3 linked regions of the Stegostoma tigrinum genome follow. The protein of the gene in region 2 purifies or fractionates together with the protein of the main gene of each other region. This does not show direct contact. Links are inferred from orthologs where the notes say so. Each region holds a gene or a part of one and is shown on either strand. Other genes may lie near its edges. The genes, in order: tubgcp6, nedd1 and tubgcp3.

The links.
Region 1: the proteins of nedd1 (region 2) and tubgcp6 purify together in Homo sapiens (affinity purification with mass spectrometry; 3 studies listed by BioGRID and IntAct, with this or other methods). This does not show direct contact. The link is inferred for Stegostoma tigrinum from reciprocal best matches to the Homo sapiens genes NEDD1 and TUBGCP6.
Region 3: the proteins of nedd1 (region 2) and tubgcp3 purify together in Homo sapiens (affinity purification with mass spectrometry; 3 studies listed by BioGRID and IntAct, with this or other methods). This does not show direct contact. The link is inferred for Stegostoma tigrinum from reciprocal best matches to the Homo sapiens genes NEDD1 and TUBGCP3.

The regions. Positions count from the first base shown.
Region 1 is NC_081378.1:27,678,661-27,686,647, forward strand, and holds the start of tubgcp6 (gamma-tubulin complex component 6), read left to right. Parts: upstream 1-4,930; 5' UTR 4,931-5,357; intron 5,358-7,987. Other genes in the region: polyamine deacetylase HDAC10, read right to left, coding at 1,311-1,375. UniProt on the Homo sapiens protein: Component of the gamma-tubulin ring complex (gTuRC) which mediates microtubule nucleation.
Region 2 is NC_081378.1:52,287,820-52,295,414, reverse strand, and holds the start of nedd1 (protein NEDD1), read right to left. Parts: upstream 3,097-7,595; 5' UTR 2,952-3,096; coding exon 2,881-2,951; intron 2,852-2,880; exon of another isoform or gene 1,334-2,851; intron 1,029-1,333; coding exon 886-1,028; intron 1-885. UniProt on the Homo sapiens protein: Required for mitosis progression. Promotes the nucleation of microtubules from the spindle.
Region 3 is NC_081359.1:13,324,916-13,331,845, forward strand, and holds the start of tubgcp3 (gamma-tubulin complex component 3), read left to right. Parts: upstream 1-3,885; 5' UTR 3,886-4,086; coding exon 4,087-4,162; intron 4,163-6,930. UniProt on the Homo sapiens protein: Component of the gamma-tubulin ring complex (gTuRC) which mediates microtubule nucleation.

The sequences.
Region 1 (7,987 bases), about 25 Mb from region 2:
CAAAATATCTTTTAAATGGTGTAACCGTACCTGCATCTACCACTTCCTCTGGCAGTTTATTCCACATATGAAGCAACCTGTGTGTGTGTAGGGGGAGAAGTCGCCCTTCAGGTCCCTTTTAAATCTTTCTACTCTCACCTTAAAAATATGTCCCCAGTTTTGAGCTGTCCCACCCTAGGGGAAAAAAGACTTTTGCCATTCACCCTAACTATGCCCCTCCTGATATTATAAACCTCTATAAGATCACCCCTCAACCTCCCACACTTGAGTGAAAAAAGTCCCAACCTATCCAGCCTCTCCTGATAATGCAAACCCTCCAGTCCCAGCAACATCAAGGTAAATCTTTTCAGAACTTGTTTGACACCCAAGTATTTAAACAGTGAGGTAGAAAGAAATTCAGACTTGCTGGGTTTCAGGTACATAATACTTATCCTCGCTAAAATACCTCAATTTAGTAGGCTATGCACAATTACTTCAGTTTTCCCAATATTTAGTTATCTAGTTCCAGATGTTAGATAAACAGTCTGATAATTTAACAACAGTGGAAAAATCATGATAGGAGGTGGTAAGGAACAGCCAACTGGCAGATTATGTGCTGGGCTTTCAGGTCATATTGTCATGGAGCAGAATGTAGATGAGAAACAGAGGGATTAAAGACAAATTCTCAAAGAATATCAAAGGTAATGACATGAGTGGGATGATGGTACTTGTGCATCACTGGGAAGATCGGCAATTGCTTCCCAATCCTAATTATCCTTGAACCAATTGGCTTGCAAGGCTATTTCAGAGAGCAGTTAAGTGTCAAACACATTACTGTGGATTTGGAGTTACTTGTACATGAAATTGGGCAAGGATGCCCTTCCCTAAAGGATATGAGTGAACCAAACTGGGTTTTTACAACACTACGATTATGCAAAGAGGCTTTTAATTCCAGCATGTTTTATTAGTTACAGTTAAATTCTGCCCACTGCCAAAGTGGGATTTGAACCAGTGCCTCGAGATCATTGACAGGTATCACTGGATTGTTATTCCAGTGAGAACACCAACTGTCATGCTTTGAAAGTGATTTGCATTAAGTAGACAAAATTAAAACCAGGAGTCAAGCACGGTCCCATTCAACTGTATCACACTGGAAAGACCTTAGGGGAGAATGGTGCACTGAACTGCTTAAATTTAAATTTGCTTCATGTCAAATCAAGAATTGATTATGTTTAAACATTTACCTGTTTAAAGTGCTCCCTAAAAATTTCAATTTAAAGCAAGAGTATTAACTGCTTTAGAAACATAAAACAACATATTACAGCACTTACAAATCCCACAGCAGGCTGTAGTTCTTCATCTGTTCATTGTAGATCAACCCTGTTCTCAATGCCATGACTGAAGAAATAAAAATACATTGATTTATTTTGGATTGAGTGACAATTTTAACATTAAAATATATTTTAAGAGCAGAAGATCAGAAGATGTGGAAGCAAAAGTAGGCTATTCAGCCCATCAAGTCTGCTCTACCATTCAATGGAATCACGTCAGATCTGATAATCATCAATCAGCTTTCTTGGCTTTTCCCCATGACGTCCATTCCCTTGCTAATCAAAAGAAAATCTCTCATTCTTGAATATCCTCAATACTCAACATGCAACCTTGAATACACTCTGCGGCAGTAAAGAATGCCACAAATTCACAACTCCCAGAAGAAATTCCTCCTCATCTTCATTTTGAATATGCAATCGCTTATTCAGAGATTACAAACTGTGACCGTAGGGTCCCCACAAGAGGAAACAACCTGCCCACATCTAAACTATCATATCCTTAGAGGATTGTGTGTGTTAGATAGAGGCAAATGTAAATTTATAAGGGTCGAAGATTTGACGTTTCAATTAAATTTGAAGATACATTTTTTCAAACTCACCTTCTGCCTGTCTCAAGCAAAAGCAGTTTAGGAATGAGATGTGGAAGATCCGTGAAATGTCATGTTTTGCACCCCATTTCGTTTTAATTGTTAACTGACCTTTTCTTGTCACTCGGATTCTTAATTTCTTTGGCTAAATCTCAAACAAAATACCTCACATGTGCTAAACACTGTACCGTTACTCGGAACTTTTTATTGAACACCACCTCCCAGACAACTACGTGCAAAAAGCTGTGAACTAATTTCTTCCAAACCTAAATCTCCTTGCAGGACATATTCCAGTAAACTTCTCACCAATTTTGAGAGTCGGGTGTGCTCAATCTCTCCATTGGATGCGTTAATGAAACACGCTTATTCTTAATCAAAGATAACAGTGTGGAGCTGGAGGAACACAGCAGGCCAGGCAACATCAGAGGAGCTGGAAGGTTGACATTTCGGGTTGGGACCCTTCTGCAGAAATGGGGAGGGTGAAGGGAGCTCAGAAATAAATAGAGGAGGGGTGGGTCTGGGGAAGGTAGGTGGGATGGCGATGGTGTTTGTAGGTAGGGAGTGGTGGGGTGGATAGGTGGGAGAGAAGATGGACAGGTTGCGTCAGGTCAAGGAGGCGAGGGATGAGAGGGAGGCTTGGACATAGGATGAGGCTGAGGGTGGGGAGGTTTTAAAACTAGTGAAATCCAAGTTCAGGCCATCAGAATGTAGGCTCCCCAAGCTGAATATGAGATGCTGTTCCTCCAGTTTGCGGTGGAGTCAGTGACACTGGAGGAGTCCCAGGATGGACATATAACCCAGGGAGTAGGAGGGGGGAAGCTAAAATGGTTCATAACCAGAAGGTGTTGTCATTTGTCACATACAGAGCACAGAAACTCTACAAAATAGTCTCAGAGTCTCCACTTGGTGTCAGCGATGTACAGGAGGCCACATCAGGAGCAGTGGCTGCAGTAGAGATGGATGTGGAGATGAACCCCTGTCTAATGTGCAAGGTTTGTTTTGTGCCTTGCATGGAAGTGATGGTGGGGGAGAAGGAAGATGACATAGGGGCAGATGTAGCCCTTCTTGCAGTTGCAGGGAAGGGTGCCGGGGTGAGATGGACTACTCTCACGACTACTAACCCTACGAAAGGCAGATGGGGTGAGGAGGGAAATATCTCTTTGATTGTGGGTGGCAAAAGTGGTAGAGAATGATACTTTGGATGCGGAGGTTAGTGAGGCGATATGTGAGGACAAGGGGGATTCTGTCTTTACTTTTGCTGGGGGGGGCATGGGGGGGGGGAAGAGATGTGAGGGCAGAGGCGCAGGAAACACAAGAGATGCGGTTGAGGGCATTTTTGATCGCCAGAGGGGACAAGTTACAATCCTTGAAATAGAAGGGCATCTGGGATGTGCAGGAGTGGATCGCCCCATCTTGGGAGCAGATGTGGCAGAGGCAGAGGAGTTGGGAGTAGGGGATGACATGCTTGCTGGAAGGTGGGTGAAAGGAGGTGTAGTCAAGATAGCTGTGGAAGTCAGGGGGGCATGTCAGTTTTGAAGCAGTTACCAGTGACGGAGACAGAGGTGTCCAGGAAGAACCCGATGTCCTCCTGTTTCAAGGATTGTAACTTTCCCCCTTTAGTGATTGAAAATGCCTTCAACTGCATTTCCTGCACCCATGTATGTATACAGTTTTTGTGTATTTCCCCTGAGCTGCAGTTTCTGTGATCCAAGAAAGAAGCAAGTGATCCTGAAATCGGCACAATTGTACAGAAATCACACTTTTTAAAAAACATCATAAAAGTCCCCAACAGATATATAAAATGACAGTGCAGTTGCTCTTCTTAAAAAGCTAGAACTTACAGAGAGACCAGTGGTAACAGTATTGCAGCAGCTGAGGGCCCAGATCGGGAAGATCATCAGACCAGGGCAGAGAAGGACAATCGACAGGAATAGGACAGCGATCGGACTGAGGGCTTGGAACAGGGCAGCTGGCAGTCAGGGGCCTAGCCAGGTCAAACTGTCACCGATGGCAGCCTAGCATAAATGAGAGTATGACACACGTGTGGAAAGCCCCCAGTGTGGAATAAATGCAGGTTATAGAGGACTAAAATGTTTACCACAGAATTTTTCTTTATTTTCCATGTTTATACTATGAAAAACTGAAATGTAGAACTTTGTCTATTTTGTAGCTAACCTATGTTAATATTTAAACTTTGGAACTAGGTACTTTGTACCTAAGATGGCATTGTGTGGTAACATCGTACACTTTTTCTATACATTTGTACTTGAATATACATGACAATAAAACCTAATTCTGGTATAGTGAAACTTGGATAAGGCAAAAGAAAAGGCCGAAGATTCTACTAAAATAAAAGCAAAATACTCCAGATGCTGGCAATCTGAAAGTAAAACAAAGTGCTGAAGAAATTTGTCGACAAAGTCAGAAGTCCCACAATACTAGGTTATGGTCCAACAGGTTTATCTGAAGTCATAAGGTTTTGGAGTGCGGCTCCTTCTTCAGGTGAAAACGAAGGAGCAGCGCTTTGAAAGCTTGCGACGTCTGACTTTGTACACCCTAGTCCAACACCAGCACCTTTACATCACGGCTGACATATGCGCAGAAGGGAACACGGTGTACATTTCGAGTCTGATACGACTTTCCCCTCGGATGAATTCCCACCCTTACTGTCTCAGATCTATTTACCCCTTCTCTAAAAGTGTACTTCAAAAGTAAAAGTCCTCACGAGTACAGTGCAAAACATTTCAGAGAAATACAACACTGCTCCATCGCACATGTTGCATTAGCAGTTGCTACTCTCCAAACGTAAGGCACGCGAGCCGGACAAAGACGATGATACAAACCCGCAACGCAACTTCTCAGAGATCAGCACTTCCGGAGGTCAACACCCGCGACTCCAGCGGAAATGATATCTGATTGGCAGCAGATGCAACCAGTGGAAGGAGGAGTCTTAACCGACCGTCCAATAGTAACACAGCGCGCCGAGGGTTGAGTTATTCGACTGGTTGATGGGGTGAAGGAGGCGGAGACACGGTGGCGGGGAACAGCTGCTGTTTGACGGTTGGAGAGCGGCGGCTGGTTGGTACAATGCTCCTGGAATGGAGTTTTCGTAGCGTAGTATAGCACAGCTCTCCGGTTAGACGTGAGGGGCCTGTCTCTGAGCTGATATTGAAAACTCCCGTTACTCTCCACACGGAGAGGGCTGCCTGCTGAACGGTTCCAGCGTTCTCTGCTCTGGCCTCTTCCTGTGCTGGATCCTCCCGTTGGCTAAAGCCTCAGTGGTTATAACGCGAGTTGCTGCAGGAACGCAGCAGGTCTGGCAACACCTTGGGGGAGAAAGCAGAGTTAACGTTTCGAGCCCGGTGAATCTTTCATCAGAACCAACTGCTTCTTCGTGGATGGAGTGATGCTGCGTCTAGCCTTCCTCCCGTAATGTGCCCTTCACGGATACCGCGCAGAGGTATATATGACCATTATGTCTACGACAGGATGTCGGCGTCTTGTCAATGTGTAATACATCCCCCTAATTGGGAGGTAAGGGGCTGCAAACCGTAATAATTTCGCCCCAGCTTTTCACAATTGCACAGCCAATTGGTGGGGTAATCAAAGATGACAGAATCCCCGACAGTGTGGAAACGTGGTAATAAAATGTGAGGCTGGATGAACACAGCAGGCCAAGCAGCATCTCAGGAGCACAAAAGCTGACGTTTCGGGCCTAGACCCTTCATCAGTGTGGAAACGTGTGCAGTTTTGCTCTCCTGATCAGAGGAAGGATGTTCAATCAACGGAGGGACTGCAACACAACAGGTTTACCTCACTGATTGTATCCGTCTGAAGAAAGAGAGTTATTGTTCTGGGTTTGGTGCCTCTTTTTCAGAAAAGATGCTACCAGACCTGCTGAGTTTTGCGAGCAATTTCTATTTTTGCTTCAGAGATCGGTCTGAAGTTCTTTGTTTCAATTTACTAGGCTGAGCCCTGGACTGCGGGACCGATGTATGAAGAGCGACGTGTTCGGCTAGGACTATATGTACTGGAGTTTAGGAGAATGAGCAGGGATCACGTTGGAACCTATAAAACTCTAGTGGGACTAAACAGAATAAATGCATGAAGGATGTTCCAAATGATTGGGAAGTTCAGAATCAAGAATCACAGTCTAATGATAATAAAGTGTGAAGCTGGATGAACACAGAAGGCCAAGCAGCATCAGGAGCTCAAAAGCTGACATTTCAGGCCGAGACCCTTCATCAGAGAGGGGGATGGGGTGAGAGTTCTGGAATAAATAGGGAGAGGGGGGAGGCGGACCGAAGATGGAGAGAAAAGAAGATAGGTGGAGAGGAGAGTATAGGTGAGGAGGTAGGGAGGGGATAGGTCAGTCCAGGGAAGACGGAGAAGTCAAGGAGGTGGGATGAGGTTAGTAGGTAGGAAATGGAGGTGCGGCTTGAGATGGTAGGAAGGGATGGGTGAGAGGAAGAACAGGTTAGGGAGGCAGAGGCAGGCTGGGCTGGTTTTGGGATGCGGTGGGGTAAGGGGAGATTTTGAAGCTGGTGAAGCCCACATTGATACCATTGGGCTGCAGGGTTCCCAAGCAAAATATGAGTTGCTGTTCCTGCAACCTTCGGGTGGCATCATTGTGGCACTGCAGGAGGCCTATGACGGACATGTCATCTATAGAATGGGAGGGGGAATTAAAATGGTTTGCGACTGGGAGATGCAGTTGTTTATTGCGAACCGAGCGGAGATGTTCTGCAAAGCGGTCCCCCAAGCCTCCGCTTGGTTTCCCCAATTTAGAGGAAGCCACACCGGGTACAATGGATACAGTATACCACATTGGCAGATGTGCAGGTGAACCTCTGCTTAATGTGGAAAGTCATCTTGGGGCCTGGGATGGGGGTGAGGGAGGTTCGTCCCCTCCCCCCACTGCATCACGCAACCAGCCCAGCTCATCCCCTCCCCCCATTGCATCCCAAAACCAGCCCAGCCTGTCTCTGCCTCCCTAACCTGTTTTTTCCTCTCACCCATCCCTTCCTCCCACCTCAAGCCGCACCTCCATTTCCTACCTACTAACCTCATCCCACCTCCTTGACCTGTCTGTCTTCCCTGGACTGACCTATCCCCTCCCTGCTTCCCCACCTATACTCTCCTCTCCACCTATCTTCTTTTCTCTCCATCTTCGGTCTGCCTCCCTCTCTCTCCCTATTTATTCCAGAACACTCACCCCATCCCCCTCTCTGATGAAGGGTCTCGGCCTGAAACGTCAGCTTTTGTGCTCCTGAGATGCTGCTTGGCCTTCTGTGTTCATCCAGCTTCACACTTTATTATCTTGAATTCTCCAGCATCTGCAGTTCCCCTTATCTCTCACGGTCTAATGATATGGGTAGGCCATTTAGGACTGAGATTAGAAATTTTTTGGCCCAGAGAGTGGTGAGCATGTAGAATCCTCTCTTTCAGAAAGTGGTTGAGGCCAAAGCATTGAAAGTTTCCAAGAAGGTGTTGATTTCGCTAAAGGGATCAAAGTGTTTAAGGGGAAAGGGGGAGCACCGTATGGAGTTGGTGATCAGATGTGATCATATTGAATGGTTGGGGGGTTGCTGAATGACTTGCTCCTGCTCCTGTTTTACAGAAATAGGAACTGCAGATGTTGGAGAATCTGAGATCATGACCTTTTCTGCTCCTAAGATGCTGTTTGGCCTGCTGAGTTCATCCAGCTCTACACCTTGTTACCCCTGCACCTGTTTTCTTCATTTTCAAAGTTTCCGCTTCTCATTTGTGTTGGCTGTATATTTTGCACTTCAGAATGGTAAACCTGAAAATGAAATACTTCTAAAATTGTGATTGTAATTGAGGTAATACTGAATGTTCTTTTTGTCATTAGGAAATTGATGTACATAATTTACGTAACCTGTCTAAATCTTGATTTGGAATGAAAAATAAAATCTACATGTTCACCTCCCCTATGACTCTAACTCTAATTTTTTTGTTGCTACCAGGGCATTTACTTTTCTGGGTATAGCTGCCTATCACTTTGTCCAAGGGAATCCAATTTGTGAAAAAAAAATTAAGGAGAAGAAACATGAATAAGGCCGTTGTCAT
Region 2 (7,595 bases):
GATTCTCCAGTATCTGCAATTCCAACTATCTCTGAAACAAGTGGATGCCTAGCCTATAGAAGTTGCCCTCCTCCCTATGGAAAAACCTCAGTGGATCTCTCTCCCACTGCAACGCCCTCATAATCTCTTCGTCCTTGAAACTGCTCGACCATGTCCTGAAGCACAACTGATACCAGTCACATTTGGACATCCAGCAGTTTTTCCACCACCTCCGCGCTTACTTCTTCAACCGCGAGCCTAACCATCCTTCCAATGACTCCTTCTACTGGCTCCATCCCCGCCTCTTTGACCTGTCTGTTTCCTCTCCACCTATCTTGTCCTCTATCCATCTTCTATCCACGTCCTCCTCTCTCCCTGTTTATTTCAGAACCCTCTTCCCCACCCCATTTCTGAAGAAGGGTCTAGGCCTGAAACGTCAGTGTTCCTGCTCGGCCTGCTGTATTCATCCAGCTCTACAACTTGTTATCTCATGTTTCCAAACCAAGCCAGTGACATTTGGCTGGGGTATAGCCCATACCCCTCCTAATCTTTCCTAATCATGAATTTATCCAAATGTTTTTTTAAATGTTGAGGCTGTACCTGCATTCACTACTTCCTGTGGCAGTTCATTCCACGGACTAACGCTCCATCCTCCTCTCACCTTAAAAACATGCACCCTAGTTTTGGACTCCCGCTCCCTGGTGCACCTTGCTATTCACCGTATTTCTTCCCCTCATGATTTTATAAGTCTTTAGAAGCTCACCTCTCAACCTCCCAGATCCCAATTATCTCAGAACCCATCAAACTAGAATGCAAGCCAGTTATCCTCATTCCCATAGGCCTGTCTAATAGCAAACAATTACATAAATGGAATAGTTACTGACAGCAGTAAACTCCAAAGGATATTATCAACAGTCCAGCAAACGGAAGTTACTTCACAGGGCTTCTTGTGAGGGTTAAACTGTTCCACCACTGTCATTGAAAGCGAATCCCAGATTTTAATGTCATCCCCACATGAGGCTAATTTGATGCTATCCTGCATGGTATATCTGCAATATATAAACATGAGATACATATGAAATAGGGTAGCTACCAAAATATACTGTAGTTTCTCAAACATTGAATAGGTATTGGATTTGAATGCTAATTAGAGATGAAAGGAAGACTTTTTAAAAAAGAATTTAAGAAAAATATTTATTACTGAGGTTTATTTCCACTGTAAAATTATTGTGCATTTATAGTGTGAATAATGGAAATTTTATAGAAATATTTTCCCAGTGAGATAATTTAGAAAAGATTTTCACGCGAATAAAAAGTATCAAAAGAAGCAGAAAGGTCTACATTTATGCTGTACCTTTCACAATCTTACGGAGTCCCAAAGTGCTTCACAGCCACTTAAGCACTTATGAATTGTCATTAAATTTAGGTTTGAATGTCAAAACATTGAAACCAATTTGTGCACAGCAAACTCCCACAAAAAAGTGAGATAATGACCAGAAAAATCTGTTTTTGCAATACTGGCCAGCAGGCAGTAAAGAACTCTCTTGCTCCTCAAAGTTGTGCCATCATTCCTTTATATCTATCTTAAGTTGACAGGCAGTGGCTTGTTTTAACATCTCATCTAAAAGACAGCTGTTACAGCACTCCACTGGATAGTACATTAAAAGATTACAGTCTGGAAAATGTCCACTAGGACTTGAACCCACAACCCACAAACAGAGGTAAATGCCCTTGAAATTAATCTGCTTGTATTTACCTTTATAAATTTCTATCTTTGGGGTGAGATTAAAAGAGAGAGAACGCCAATTTTGACGCATCAGTTTTCGTGCACATGCACTAAAAATAAAGGGTGTTTAATTTAAAACACAAAGTGCTCAAGAAACTCAGCAGGTCTGACAGTGCCTGTGCAGACAGAAACAGAGTTAGCATTTTTAGTTCAATATAACTGGCTTTTAAAACTGAAGAATGAGGAGTTAGGCTAGCAGTTAGGTGTGGGCAGGGTGTAGAGTGAAAGGTGAGTGGTCAGTGTGATAGGTAGATAAAGTAGCATTTGTTCATGTTTTATAACTTAAATTGATTTCGTATTTTGTCTTGACTATATTTAAGTTTGTCAAATTTTCATCAGGTTTCAAAAACAGCTGTACTGATCCCCAACTGTTGCATTAACAATGTTTTGTGATTAGAGGTGGACATTGTAATTGTAGCCCACTAAGGTGTGTTTGCTTGAGTCAGAAATCACAGGGATTTAAATTCCATTTCAGAGATGTGAGCCTGTAATCTTGGTTGATAATCCAAATGGGAGTGCTGCACTCTCAATGGTGCTACGTTAACAATAAAACATTAAGTAAAATTTAAGACTCCATAGTCCCAGAGGATCACATGGCTGCTCTCACCACACCACTGGACAGCAGTGAGGTCAAGATTGAGCCCTTCATAGAGTTCAGCTGGTGCAGGAATTGAACCACACATGCTGGCAATACTCTACAGCAGAAACCAGCCAATTGAACTAGTGAACATTAAGTACAGGCTGTCTCTCTGACAAGTCAAATAACACACAACCAAATTCAAAGCAGCTACATTCTCCTCAAAATGCTCGCTAATAAATATTCCTTCAATCAAAATCACAAAAACAAAAAAAGTCATATTGTTTACATCAGCTGCGAGTCATTTGGTAACACTCATTTCTGAATCAGAGTCCAATTCCAGGTATTAGCACAAAAATACAAGCTGACATTCCAGTACTTGAAGCAGTGTTGCACTATCTGAAGGGCCTTCATTCAGATAAGACATTAAAAAGAGACTTAATGGTAGAACTACCTGCTCAGGTAGTTCTAAAAGATCTGATGGCACCATTTTCAAGAGGAGCAACTGAGTTATCTGTCAATATTTAAGACAACCTACATTACATAGATAATCACTTTGCTGTTTGAGAAAGGTCGCTGTGCGCAATCTGGCAGTCCCCTTTCCAACATCACAACAGTGACTACGCTCTAGAAAGTGACTCATTCTCTGCAATGCTTCGAAATCTCCCAAGGCGGTGCAGAATTTTTTCTACATTGATAAGTTAGAAGTGAAGATGGAACTTGATCACCGGTAGTGGGAATGGCGGTGGATGCGAGCTAGTTTCAGTGAGGCAGGCCGCTCTTACTTGAAGCTCCCCCGGGGATCTGAGGGAGGCCAGGGGGCCTAGAGCAGCAGCGGCATGGGCTCAAGACTGACACTTCGAGGCTTCTGCTGGGGACCTGGGCCTCTAGCGATTCCTTCCAAGATCACTTCCTCAGCGACCTCTCACTTGGTCGGGGTCATTCACTCACTGACCGCTCACCGGGCCGGAGGTGGGTGGGTGGATTGGTCGGTCACTCACTCTCTGACTAACTCACCGCTCACCAACCTAAGGTCGGTCACTCATTCCCTCCCTCACTGACCGATCACCGACCCGAGGTCGGTCCCTCACTCACTGACCGCTCAGGACAGGCCTGACTCCAGCCTCGCCTTGGCGCCAACAGCAATCCTCCCGTGGTGCGCGCGCAGCTCTGCTGGCTCCGCCCCTCCCTTCCCTAGGGGCAGCAGTTGGAGCCGCGCGCCGCTTGCTGTTGGTTAGTGACGCGCCAGAGGTCGCGAGCTGGTGAGTGTCTGTCAGGTGCATGTTTCTCGATTCAGCTCCTTAAAGACTGTTTATCATTCTTCTTCTATTTTGAAGGAAGGTCGCAGGTCGGTACGTTAACTCCATTTCTGTCTTCATAGATCTGCTAAATTTCTCCGGCAGTCTGTTACCAATTATCATCTTGTCGCTGTCTCATGATCTTCGCCGCTCATAAATACTGTGCAGTCCTGTAAATGCCCACTACACACCAGTACATGCCCATTGCATTCCTGTAAATATCCGGTACATACCTAGTACATTCCTGTAAATGCCCACTGCACACCAGTGCATGCCCAGTACATTCCTGTAAATACCCAGTACATGCCCAGTACATTCTTGTAAATGCCCACTACACACCAGTGCATGCCCATTGCATTCCTGTAAATACCCAGTGCATGCCCAATACATTCCTGTAAATACCCACTTCACACCAGTACATGCCCAGTACATTCCTGTAAATACCCAGTGCAATCCTGTTAAGTATTGTGCACACCATTATATGCCCAGTACGCGCACACTGTTATCTCTGTCTCCAGCATCTGCAGTTCTTCCTATCTCATACTCAGTGCATACCTGTTCATACTGACTGCCCAGCCACACAGGCTTAGTGCACACCTTAGCGTGCTACTACATAAAAACCAAAAGAACTGCAGATGCTGTAAATCAGGAACAAAAACAGAGGAAGTGTCACCGGACCCGAACTGTTAACTCAGTTTTCTCCTCCACAGATGCTCCCAGACCTGCTGAGCTTTTCCAGCAACTTTGTTTTTGTACTATTTCATAACCGGCTCATGCAGCTGGAGGTCAGCTAATGCACAGGCCCCAAAGCACAACAAATCAACACAGCCCATATTTGTGACTGGGAAGGAACTGCAGTGAACATAGCAGACTCTTTCCCAATTCTTGTGTTGTGGATTGTATAGACAGGGTGAGATCAATTGCCTACCCAGCAAACCTTCTTTTATAAAAAGAAGGTACTGGGAATTTTGCATGACCTCCAGAGTGAGAGAAATCTCTGGCTCATCACATGAAAGCCCATATCATACAACTCTTGTATCCTCTAACTTTATTAATACCCCAGTAATATTTCAGATGCTGATAACCCAGATAATAGATGGACTTAGCAATTACAGTGTACCTAGGTTCTCTGAAAGCTTACAGCACCAAAAAGCACATCACAGGTATTGTGGACAAGAAGTGTCCAGAGATTTTTTTTACATTTTCTAGCAAAGTGGGGAAAGGCAGAAATTGGCACTCCGTAGTGGAACTGATGCAAGTGCGATGAGCTGAATCGCCTCCTTCAGCACTACCACAATTCTGCGATACTGTGAGGTGTAGCCAGTCCTTGATGGTCATTGCTGGGATGTGCTCTTGTAGCCTTTTAACCTCAATAAAAGCTTACATTGGCTGTTCCATGTATTAACCTCTAGAGCGCAAAAGGATGTAATAATAAGGGAAAGAACTGCAGAAGCTGAAAAACCAAAACAAAAAAAATTGGAGAAACTCAGCAGGTTTGGCAGCATGCCTGGAGAGAAAGCAGACTTAATGGAAGAATATTTTGTGCTATCTAAATGTAGTGCAAATGAGATATGGGGATTGTTTACATAGAGATCTCTGGTGGTGTTATTGACAGCTGAACTAATAAATTCAGTAGAGAATATTCTTTAGACATAGCTTGTGTTAAGAGTTGAGCAATGCTGTGAGCCTCTGAAACCATCTGGTAACTTGACTCATTTACATATTTAGCTCTTAAAGGAACATCATCTAAAAGATAACAAAGTGTGAAGCTGGATGAACACAGCAGGCCAAGTAGCATTTCAGGAGCACAAAAGCTGACGTTTTGGGCCTAGACCCTTCATCAGAGAGCATCTCTGATGAAGGGTCTAGGCCCGAAACATCAGCTTTTGTGCTCCTGGGATGCTGCTTGGCCTGCTGTGTTCATCCAGCTTCACACTTTGTTATCTTGGATTCTCCAGCATCTGCAGTTTCCATTATCACTCACACATCATCTAAAAGATAATAGTTTTTCCCAAGGTAGCTCAAGTGCTGCAATTTGAAATTCATAAACGTTGGGTAATCACAAGATTAGTTATATAGAGATAGGGATCATAAAATTTACAAATGCAGATTTCAAAGAGTCCATTTATCATTTTGGCAATTTGACCAGATCTTGTAAACTTCTGGAACTATGGGTGTTTCCCTTGGCTACTGTTAGTCATCGGTGTATTGATTACCCTCGTGTTCCATCACTCTGTTGTCACACAGGTATGTACTTTTGTGTTCACTCTTCACAGTTAGCATATTGTACACTTTCCCTTAGCTGGCATCTATTCCTCACAGAATCTCAAAATTGTTACGGTGTTGAAGGAGGCTATTTGACCTATCATGTCTGCATTGACTCACTGAGCATTTTATCTTAGTGCCAATACCCTGTTTTTTCCCCCGTAACAACGCACATTGTATCTCTTTAAATAATCATCTAATACCCTGTTGAATACCTCAATTGAACCAGCATCCAACATATCTTAGGCCATGCATTTTGGACCCTAATCAGTCATGGTGAGAAGAAGCTTTTTCTGACTTCACATTTGTTTCTTTTGTAAAACACTTTAAAACCTCTGGTTCTCAATCCATATACTGGCTCTCAATCCAAATGGGAACAGTTTCTTGCTATTTACTCTGTCCAGACCTATCAAATTTCCTCTTAGCCTTCTCATTGCCAAAGGAAATAGACACAACTTCTCCAATTTTTCCTCAGACCTGAAGCCATATCCCTGAAACCTTCTCATAAACGTCCTCTGTGCTCTCTTAAATGCATTCTCATTCTTCCTATAATTTAATGCCCACAGCTGTACACAATATTTCAGCTAAGGTCTAACAGTGTCTTATATCTAAACAGTTCATCATAATGAAGGGTCTAGGCCCGAAACGTCAGCTTTTGTGCTCCTGAGATGCTGCTTGGCCTGCTGTGTTCATCCAGCCTCACATTTTATTATCTTGGAATCTCCAGCATCTGCAGTTCCCATTATCTCAGTTCATCATAATCTCCCTGGCCTGTATCCTATGCCTGTATTTTTTAATGAAAACTAGAATACTGTATCCTTTATTAACAGCTCTCTTTACCTGTCCTACTGCCTTTAATGGCTTATGTACATATTCACCCAGGTTTCTCTGCTCCTGCACGTCCTTTAGAATACTATCCTTTATTTTATAATGTAATGTCCGTGTACCGAAGTTCTCATTTCACACTTCCCTGTGTTGAACTTCATCTATCATTTATTAGCCCACAGTACTTTACAAACTTGTCAATGTTCTTTTGGAGTTCCACACTGTCCATCTGACAGTTTACAATTCTTGCACGTTTGGCGTCATCTGCAAATTTTGAAATTGCTTGCTTCACACCAAAGTGCAGATCAATAATATATGTTAGGAAAAGCAAGTGTCCCAATACCAACTCCTGGAAAATTCCATTACAAGCCTTCCACCAGCCCGAAAAATATCCATGGACTATGCTAATTTTATATCCATGTTGCTACTCTACTGTTTAATCCATAACCTATAACTGAGCTTACAAATCTGTTGTATGGCATTGTATCAAACACCTTCTGAAAGTCCCTGTATACCTCATCAACAGTCATGTGTCAACCCTTTCTGTTACCTCTTCAAAAAACACCAGCAATATAGACAGAATTTTCCCTTAAAAACTGCGTGCAAACTCTTCTGAATCAACCCATGTTTTCCATGTGATGGAAAAATTTGATTTTTTTTCTTTTCTAGATTTTTCCCACCACACTGTTCAACAGACTCATCTGTAATTGCTGGGCGGTTTTTTACAACCTGTTTGGGACATGGACCATCCCCAAATCCAGGAAAAATTGAAACATGCTTGGCACTTTAATTCCATCTTAATTTCCTTCAATATCCTTGGATGTTTCTTATCCTGGTACTTTATCAACTTAAAGTGCCAACAGTT
Region 3 (6,930 bases), on a different chromosome or scaffold from region 2:
AGAACCCTATTATTTGAAGTTTAAAAGGCCATTATCTCCCCAGCAACAAGGAAATTGCCTGCAAGGGATGGTTATCAGCTGTTAAATATCAATATTTGAGCATGGAAGTCCCAATTGCTGCCATACCTCTACTACCATCTCCTCTGATGGAAAGATGATATATCCCACAGGGTGTGCAGTATGAAACAAGAACAAAGCAGATTCAGGTGTTCACCAAATGAACAGGTACTTCACTTCCTGGCGAATACTTTGCTGATATTTTCAAAATCACACAAGAACTAGAGGGCATAGGTTTAAGGTGAGAGGATAAAGATTTATAACTGACCTGAGAGGTAACTATTTTTTAAACACACAGGGTAATGCGTGTACAGAACGGCTGCCAGATGAAATTGCGTACAATTGCAACATTTAACAGACATCCAGACAAGTATGTAAATAGGAAGGATTTAGAGGGATATGGACCAACTGCTGGCAAACAAAACTAAGTTAGATTGGGATGCCTGGTTGACACAGACAAGTTGGTCTAATTCTGTGCTGTATGACTCCTTCTTCAAGATCTCCTTCACCACAATGTTACAAAAACCTCTTTTTAAACGTCTCTATAAGCCATAAATGTGACCATTTTGAATAGAAGGTTATAGGCCCGAAATGTCAGCTTTCCTGCTCCTCTGATGTGCCTTGGCCTGCTGTGTTCATCCAGCTCTACACCTTCTCAGATTCTGCAGCATCTGCAGTTCCTACTATGTCTTGAATATTATTCTGCCCAGGACCATGTCTTAAAACCCTGACTTTTGAGTCTCTATGAACTTTAAGAATCAGCTGGTTCAAGAATCTGTTGTGCATATCCTAACAGCAACAGGAGCTGTTCATTTAACAACACTACGTCACATGGGCTAAACTGGTTTTCAGTCTGGCAATTTGTTGGTTTTAAAATTCTTATCAGTGTTTTTGAATCCCTCACATCCCCTCACCCCAATAACTTCTTCAAGCCTTAGAATCAATCTGCAACCTCTAATTCTCAAATTCGGGTCTCTCATGTATTTGTTCTTTCATTTACTCTACCATTGGCATTGAAACCTTCAACATGCCTAGGCCCTCAGCTCTAGAACCTCCTCTCGAAACCTCTTCATCCCTTTCTCCTCCTACCTCCCTGACAAGCCTTTTATTATTTGCCCCCATACATCTTTACATGGATCGGTATCAAATATTGACAGATAATCCTTCACAAAGCATCTTCAGACTGTTTCATATGTTAAAGACATAGTACAAAGCAATGTTACTTTTGTTCTTGCTTAGATTTGTCTGGATGCTTAAATGTTCACTGAAGCTTTTTGAAATTTTATGGGTTAGGGAGGAAGATGGTCCTGAATAGATCTTTTGTCCATGTCTTATGTTTCTGGGACTGAGCCCTGGAAAATTTGGGATCACAAGCTTATTTTGATGCTGTCACAGTCAGTCTCCAGTGTTGTGGCTGCCTAGATGCTAGAAAGCAAAACAGAACACCAACTAACACTTCATCATACTGGCTTCTGGAGTGAAGTCTAATTTTTATTGATTTTCTTTGGTGCAACAGATTTAATAAATATAATCAACAGATAATTCAGCTGATTGTATATCTAAAATTGCAGAGAGAGATGTTATCTAATGATAACCAGCAACCTCAATTTTCAAAATATGTTAAATATGGTGAAGGATTATAGGAAAATCAGGATTAAATCTAATATTCAGTAAATTAAAATTGAAAAACAACTTTTGCAATTCTTAAATACAGTGTATTTAATCAATGAAACACTAATATGTTAAATTGACAACACAATCCTACATATTTTCACTGTTTAAAAAAAGCACTGGATCGTGACACATGTCTCCAAAACACAGTCCCCAAGAAAGTTTTTGAAAAGTGAATCTCTGATCTTCCCTTGGCTTTCAATCAGTAAACTTCTATAATGAAAGTCTTTCTGTAAAAGTGTCACATGAATAACCTTTATGTCCATGGGGAAGCTTGAGATGAGACAATGAGGCACCAAGACACTTACATTACAATAAATGTAACAATGCCTAAAAGTATTTTGAAACCAAATCAGAGGTAAGTCATTTTCCTTGGATTTGTTTCAGATTTTAAAATGACAAAGATTAAGGGCACTTAATCAGAGAGGAAGAGAATAACAAAATTAACAGCAATTACATCAGTACGTACTGGAAGTTGAGCAGGCAGTGAATCTCAGAAGTCAAATGAATTGTGACCAATTAATTTATTAATAGTTAATGTGAAAGAGAGAAAAGGTTGCCGTACAACTATTGGTTTGTGGTTCATTCATGCCCTTTACAGAAGGAATTCTATTGTACTGACCAGGGCTGGCTGACCTAGATGTCCAGCTGTGACCTCTTAAGACTAAATTTCTACTCAAGTCTGAAGTAAGAGTGCTTCACACTGGACATAACAGCTTTTCAGAGGTGTTGGCAGGAGGGGCTAATTTAGTTTGAGATTACGTTCATCAGGTTGGACCAAAGGGCCTGTTTCTGTGCTGTATGACTTTGAGTTGTTAAACTGAACACGCATTTGTCTTCTAAGGGTTACGTAAAAGATTTCATTGCACTATTTTTAAGATGAGCATTTATTGTCAGAGATGACAAGGTGTAGAGCTGGATGAACACAGCTGGCCAAGCAGCATCAGAGGAGCAGGAAAGTTGACGACACCAATGCTGCCTGGCCTGCTGCGCCTCTGCAGCTCCATACTGTGTCAAGTCTGACTCCAGCATCTGCAGTTCTTGCTACCTCTGATAAGGTTCGCTTTCCCTCCCTTATAAATGTGACTCCAAACCCACGGCAATGTTACTGACACAGAGCTATCACTTGAAATGACCCATTGTTACCATCAGGGATGAGCAATAAATGGCAGGCTCATCAACCAACACGGATAAACTTAAAACAACACCTGCATCAAAATACAAGGAAACAGTGTGCAGGATGTTTAAATCGCAGCAAGAAAACCTCACAACGAATTTTCAAAGTGTGAGGCACAGGACGATGGCTGCGGGAAGATTAACAAAAGCCAGCTCCACCCTCAGCAGGCCGCCAGTAACCATGGAAACGGCATCTTCCCCTCACAGCCTTGCCTTCACCGAGAGGCTCTTCCTCGTGCCAGCTGTTACCTATTTCACCCCGCCCACTCCACGACACTGCCCTATAACCCGCCATATCATTGCACGGCCTACTTCACGAGCAACCCAGTCATCGCCAGGTTCCGAAGGATAGCCCCGCCCCCCTATTAACGACCCGCCACCCGTCCGCAGGCTCTGTCCCTTTTTACCTCACCTCTCTCCGACTGCCCCGCCCACATCTTAATACCTCACCGCTGTCCGACTGCGCCGTCCATACTGGCCCCGCCCACTCCATGCTCCGCGCCCGTCATCATTGGACCCACCTTCTTCCCCACACTTCCGCATCCCAGATAACAAGATGTAGAGCGGGATGAACACCGCAGGCCAAGCAGCATCATAGGAGCAGGAAGGCTGACATTTCGGGCCGTGACCCTTAATCAGAGGGTCTAGGCCCGAAACGTCAGCTTTTGTGCTTTTAAGATGCTGCTTGGCCTGCGGTGTTCATTCAGCTCCACACTTTGTTATCTCGGATTCTCCGGCATCTGCAGTTCCTATTATCTACGATACTACTTCCACCTCCCACTCCGTCCCCGCCCCTGCACAGGACCCCACCCATCCATTGTTACTTGTCTCCGCCCACTCGCCGCTAACCCTATCCTGACCACGCTCCCATCACATAGCCCCGCCCACGCAACGTTCTGGCCAGCCGCTGCACCCTCCTGACTCCACCTACTCGGCGCCGTGCTTGCGTCTGGTCCTCAGACCCCGCCCATCTCCTCGCAGCGGATTGTACCCCCTGACCAGGAAGTGGATGTTTGTAGTTCCGTTGCAATGCCGCGGGCTCTTAAAAAAATGGCGCCCTTGGCGCCGGGTCGGAGCTAAGACGGAACCGGGATTGAACCTGGGCGAACTGTGGAAAAGCCGAGGCAACGGCTCCGACCCGGGAACTGGGTCTCCTAGAACAGGACAGTGGGAGGCCCGGCGATGGCGACTGTGGATCACAAGTCCCCGAATCTACTGTTGCAAAGCCTGTGCTGCCGGATCCTGGGCCGCAATGAGGGTGAGTAGGGCCGGGGGCTGGAGGTTGTGAAGCCGGAGACTTGCTGGTCTGGCCTGGCATGGCCTGGCGACAGTGAGGTAGGGATGTGTCGACAGCGAATCAGCCCTGGTGAGAATGAAAAACAAGCCCAGGTGGAGTGAGGGAATGATGTACGGACGTGCAGGGGAGGCGTTAGATGGGTTATGTTTGCAGGTGGAATTGAGCGGCTCGAATGGTGGCTTGTTTTCTTGAGGGGCTAAGCGTACAGCAACGTCAAGGATGTTGGAGAGGGACAAGATTAGAAGGTTTTTCTCACGTTGGCGGCAATGAAATTGAGAGGAGTAAAATTCGAGTCCTCCAATCGGAAATCCAGCTGAGTAGAGATTGGGTTGCTCACGATTATAATAGTGCCAGACAATATAGGGATAGTGAGAGTCCTGTAGTATCACCGGGGATAGGAGGAGTAATTAAATTGAGGAGATGGTATCAGAAGAAAGAGTTCAGGTTTTTGGAATCTAAACAGAATCTGGGTAAATCGAATGTAGCTGGAGAAAAGGCAAAGTTAACATTCAGTTGTAAGACAAGAAAGTTGTTTGGTGTATCAGAACAATACTGGTCTTCATTGAGTAATCCAATCAATTCTGTTCCCTTTTTCTGTCCCTGTAGCTTTGCTGGTTTACTTTTCTTTATTGCCATCCTTATTCCTTGTGAAATTACTAGTTATCTCCACTTCTATGACCCTCATACACAGTGGGATCCAGATTATGAGCATTCAGTATGCAAAGATATTTTTCCTAAGACTTTTTGTTTATCATTCATTCATATTACTCTTCCAGTTTTATCTGGTTAGATTCTCCTCATCTCATTGAAATTAGTTGCCCTCCAATTTGGAAACTTCATTTTAGATTATTGCTTTCTGTTGTCCATTACTACTTAATCTATAATTAATATCATGTTCCCTATAAGTTATATGAACTCATTCCCTGGCACCAGAAATTTCACTTTGAGTTGCAGTGAACATACAAATTCGGACATTTTGGTTAAGCAAGCATGTTCCACCATCAGTAACACCATGGCTGTTCCGCCTGGCCTCAGCACCACCTTTCTGTCTCATCCCTAAACCTGTTGATTTCCTTTTCAGTCAAGAATCTGTCTAACTCAGCCTTAAAAATATTTAGTGATTGTGCTTCCCCTTTTTGGGGAAGAGAAATCTGGGGACTAAGCTTCTTTTAAGAGATTCTTCTATTCTGCGTCATAATTGAGAGAATCCTCATTTTTAACCTGTGCCTGCTGGCTCCAATCTCTCCTACAAGTGGAACTATCCTTCCTGCATCCACCCTGTTAATTTCCGTCGATACTAAATGTTTCATTAAGATCAACTCTCATTCTTCTGTACCCCAACGGATATAGGGCTGACATGTCGAACCTTTGCTCAGAGGATAATGTTTTATCCCAAGAATTGATCAAGTTAACTTTGCACTGTTTTAATCCAGTTACATTCTTTCATAAGCATGACCAAACTGTTTGCACTTTTCCACTTGTGGTGTCACAAACAGACTGTATAACTAGAAAATTTGGAATATGTGAGAAAGCTAGATAGAAATGTAAGAACAAACATTGGGTTTCTATAGATATTTAGAAAGGAAAAATGGTAAAAGAAAATTGTTGGCACTAAGGAAGTCAGTTTAGGGAATTACTTATCAAAAATAAGGAAATGACAGATTACTTAAGCAGGTAATGTTGCAGTACTTTTCACAAGTGGGTACGAATAACATGTCAGAAATGTGTGTATATCAAAAATGGAAAACAGAAGGGACCTTTGGAAAGTTATATCAAGTGTGTTGTACTGAGTAAATTGTTGGATCTGCAGACTATCCAATTCCTAGGTACTGTGAACCTTATCCTAGGGACGTACAGGAAATAGCTAGCAAGGTAATTAACATGCTATTTTGTTTTTCCAAAATTCTCTCGACTTGAAGTTTCATTTGATTAGAAAATAGCAAGTGGAGCTTCTTTATTCAAAGTTGACAACAGAAAGCAGGAAAGTGCATGCCATTTAGCTTAACGTATGTCAAAAAGAGGATGCTGGAAGCTATTAATGAATATGTTAGTGTGGCTGTTTGAAAAATTTAAGATAATCGGAATGTGTCAACAAGGCTTTGTCCAAGGGAAATCATTTTTAAACAATTTGTTGTAACTGTTTGTGGAGGTTAACATGCTGTGGAGAAAACAGATCTAGCGGATGTGTTGCAGTTGGTTTTCCAAATAGCATTTGTAAGGTGCTGTGTCAAATGTTTTTGCAGAAAATATAATATCACAGTGTGGGGAAAGGAATGCATTGGCATACATAAGAGCTTGGCTGGCTAACAGGCGACAATAAGCATATATGTGTCACTTTCAGGTTTGCAAGATGCAACAAGTAGTGTACCAGAAACAAGTTGTGATCTCAACCTTTTACAATTTGTGTCAGTTATTTTGAAGGAAAGGATGAAAGATATGGTTGCTAAATTTGCTAATGACACTGTAGTAGTTAGCAAAGTAAATTATGAAGTAGACAGAGGACATAACTTAAACAAGTGGACAAAGGTCTGACAAATAGAGTTTTAAGTGGGAAAAGTGAAATTATCCATTTTGGGAGCAAAAGTTGGGGAAAAAGGGCAGATTATAGAGATTATGAAGGATTGCAGAGTTCTTGTTATGCAGAGATATCTGGGTGTGCTAATGCATGAAATGCAAAAGGTTACTATGCATAACAGCAAGTAATAAGGGAAGCTGATGCAATGTAATAA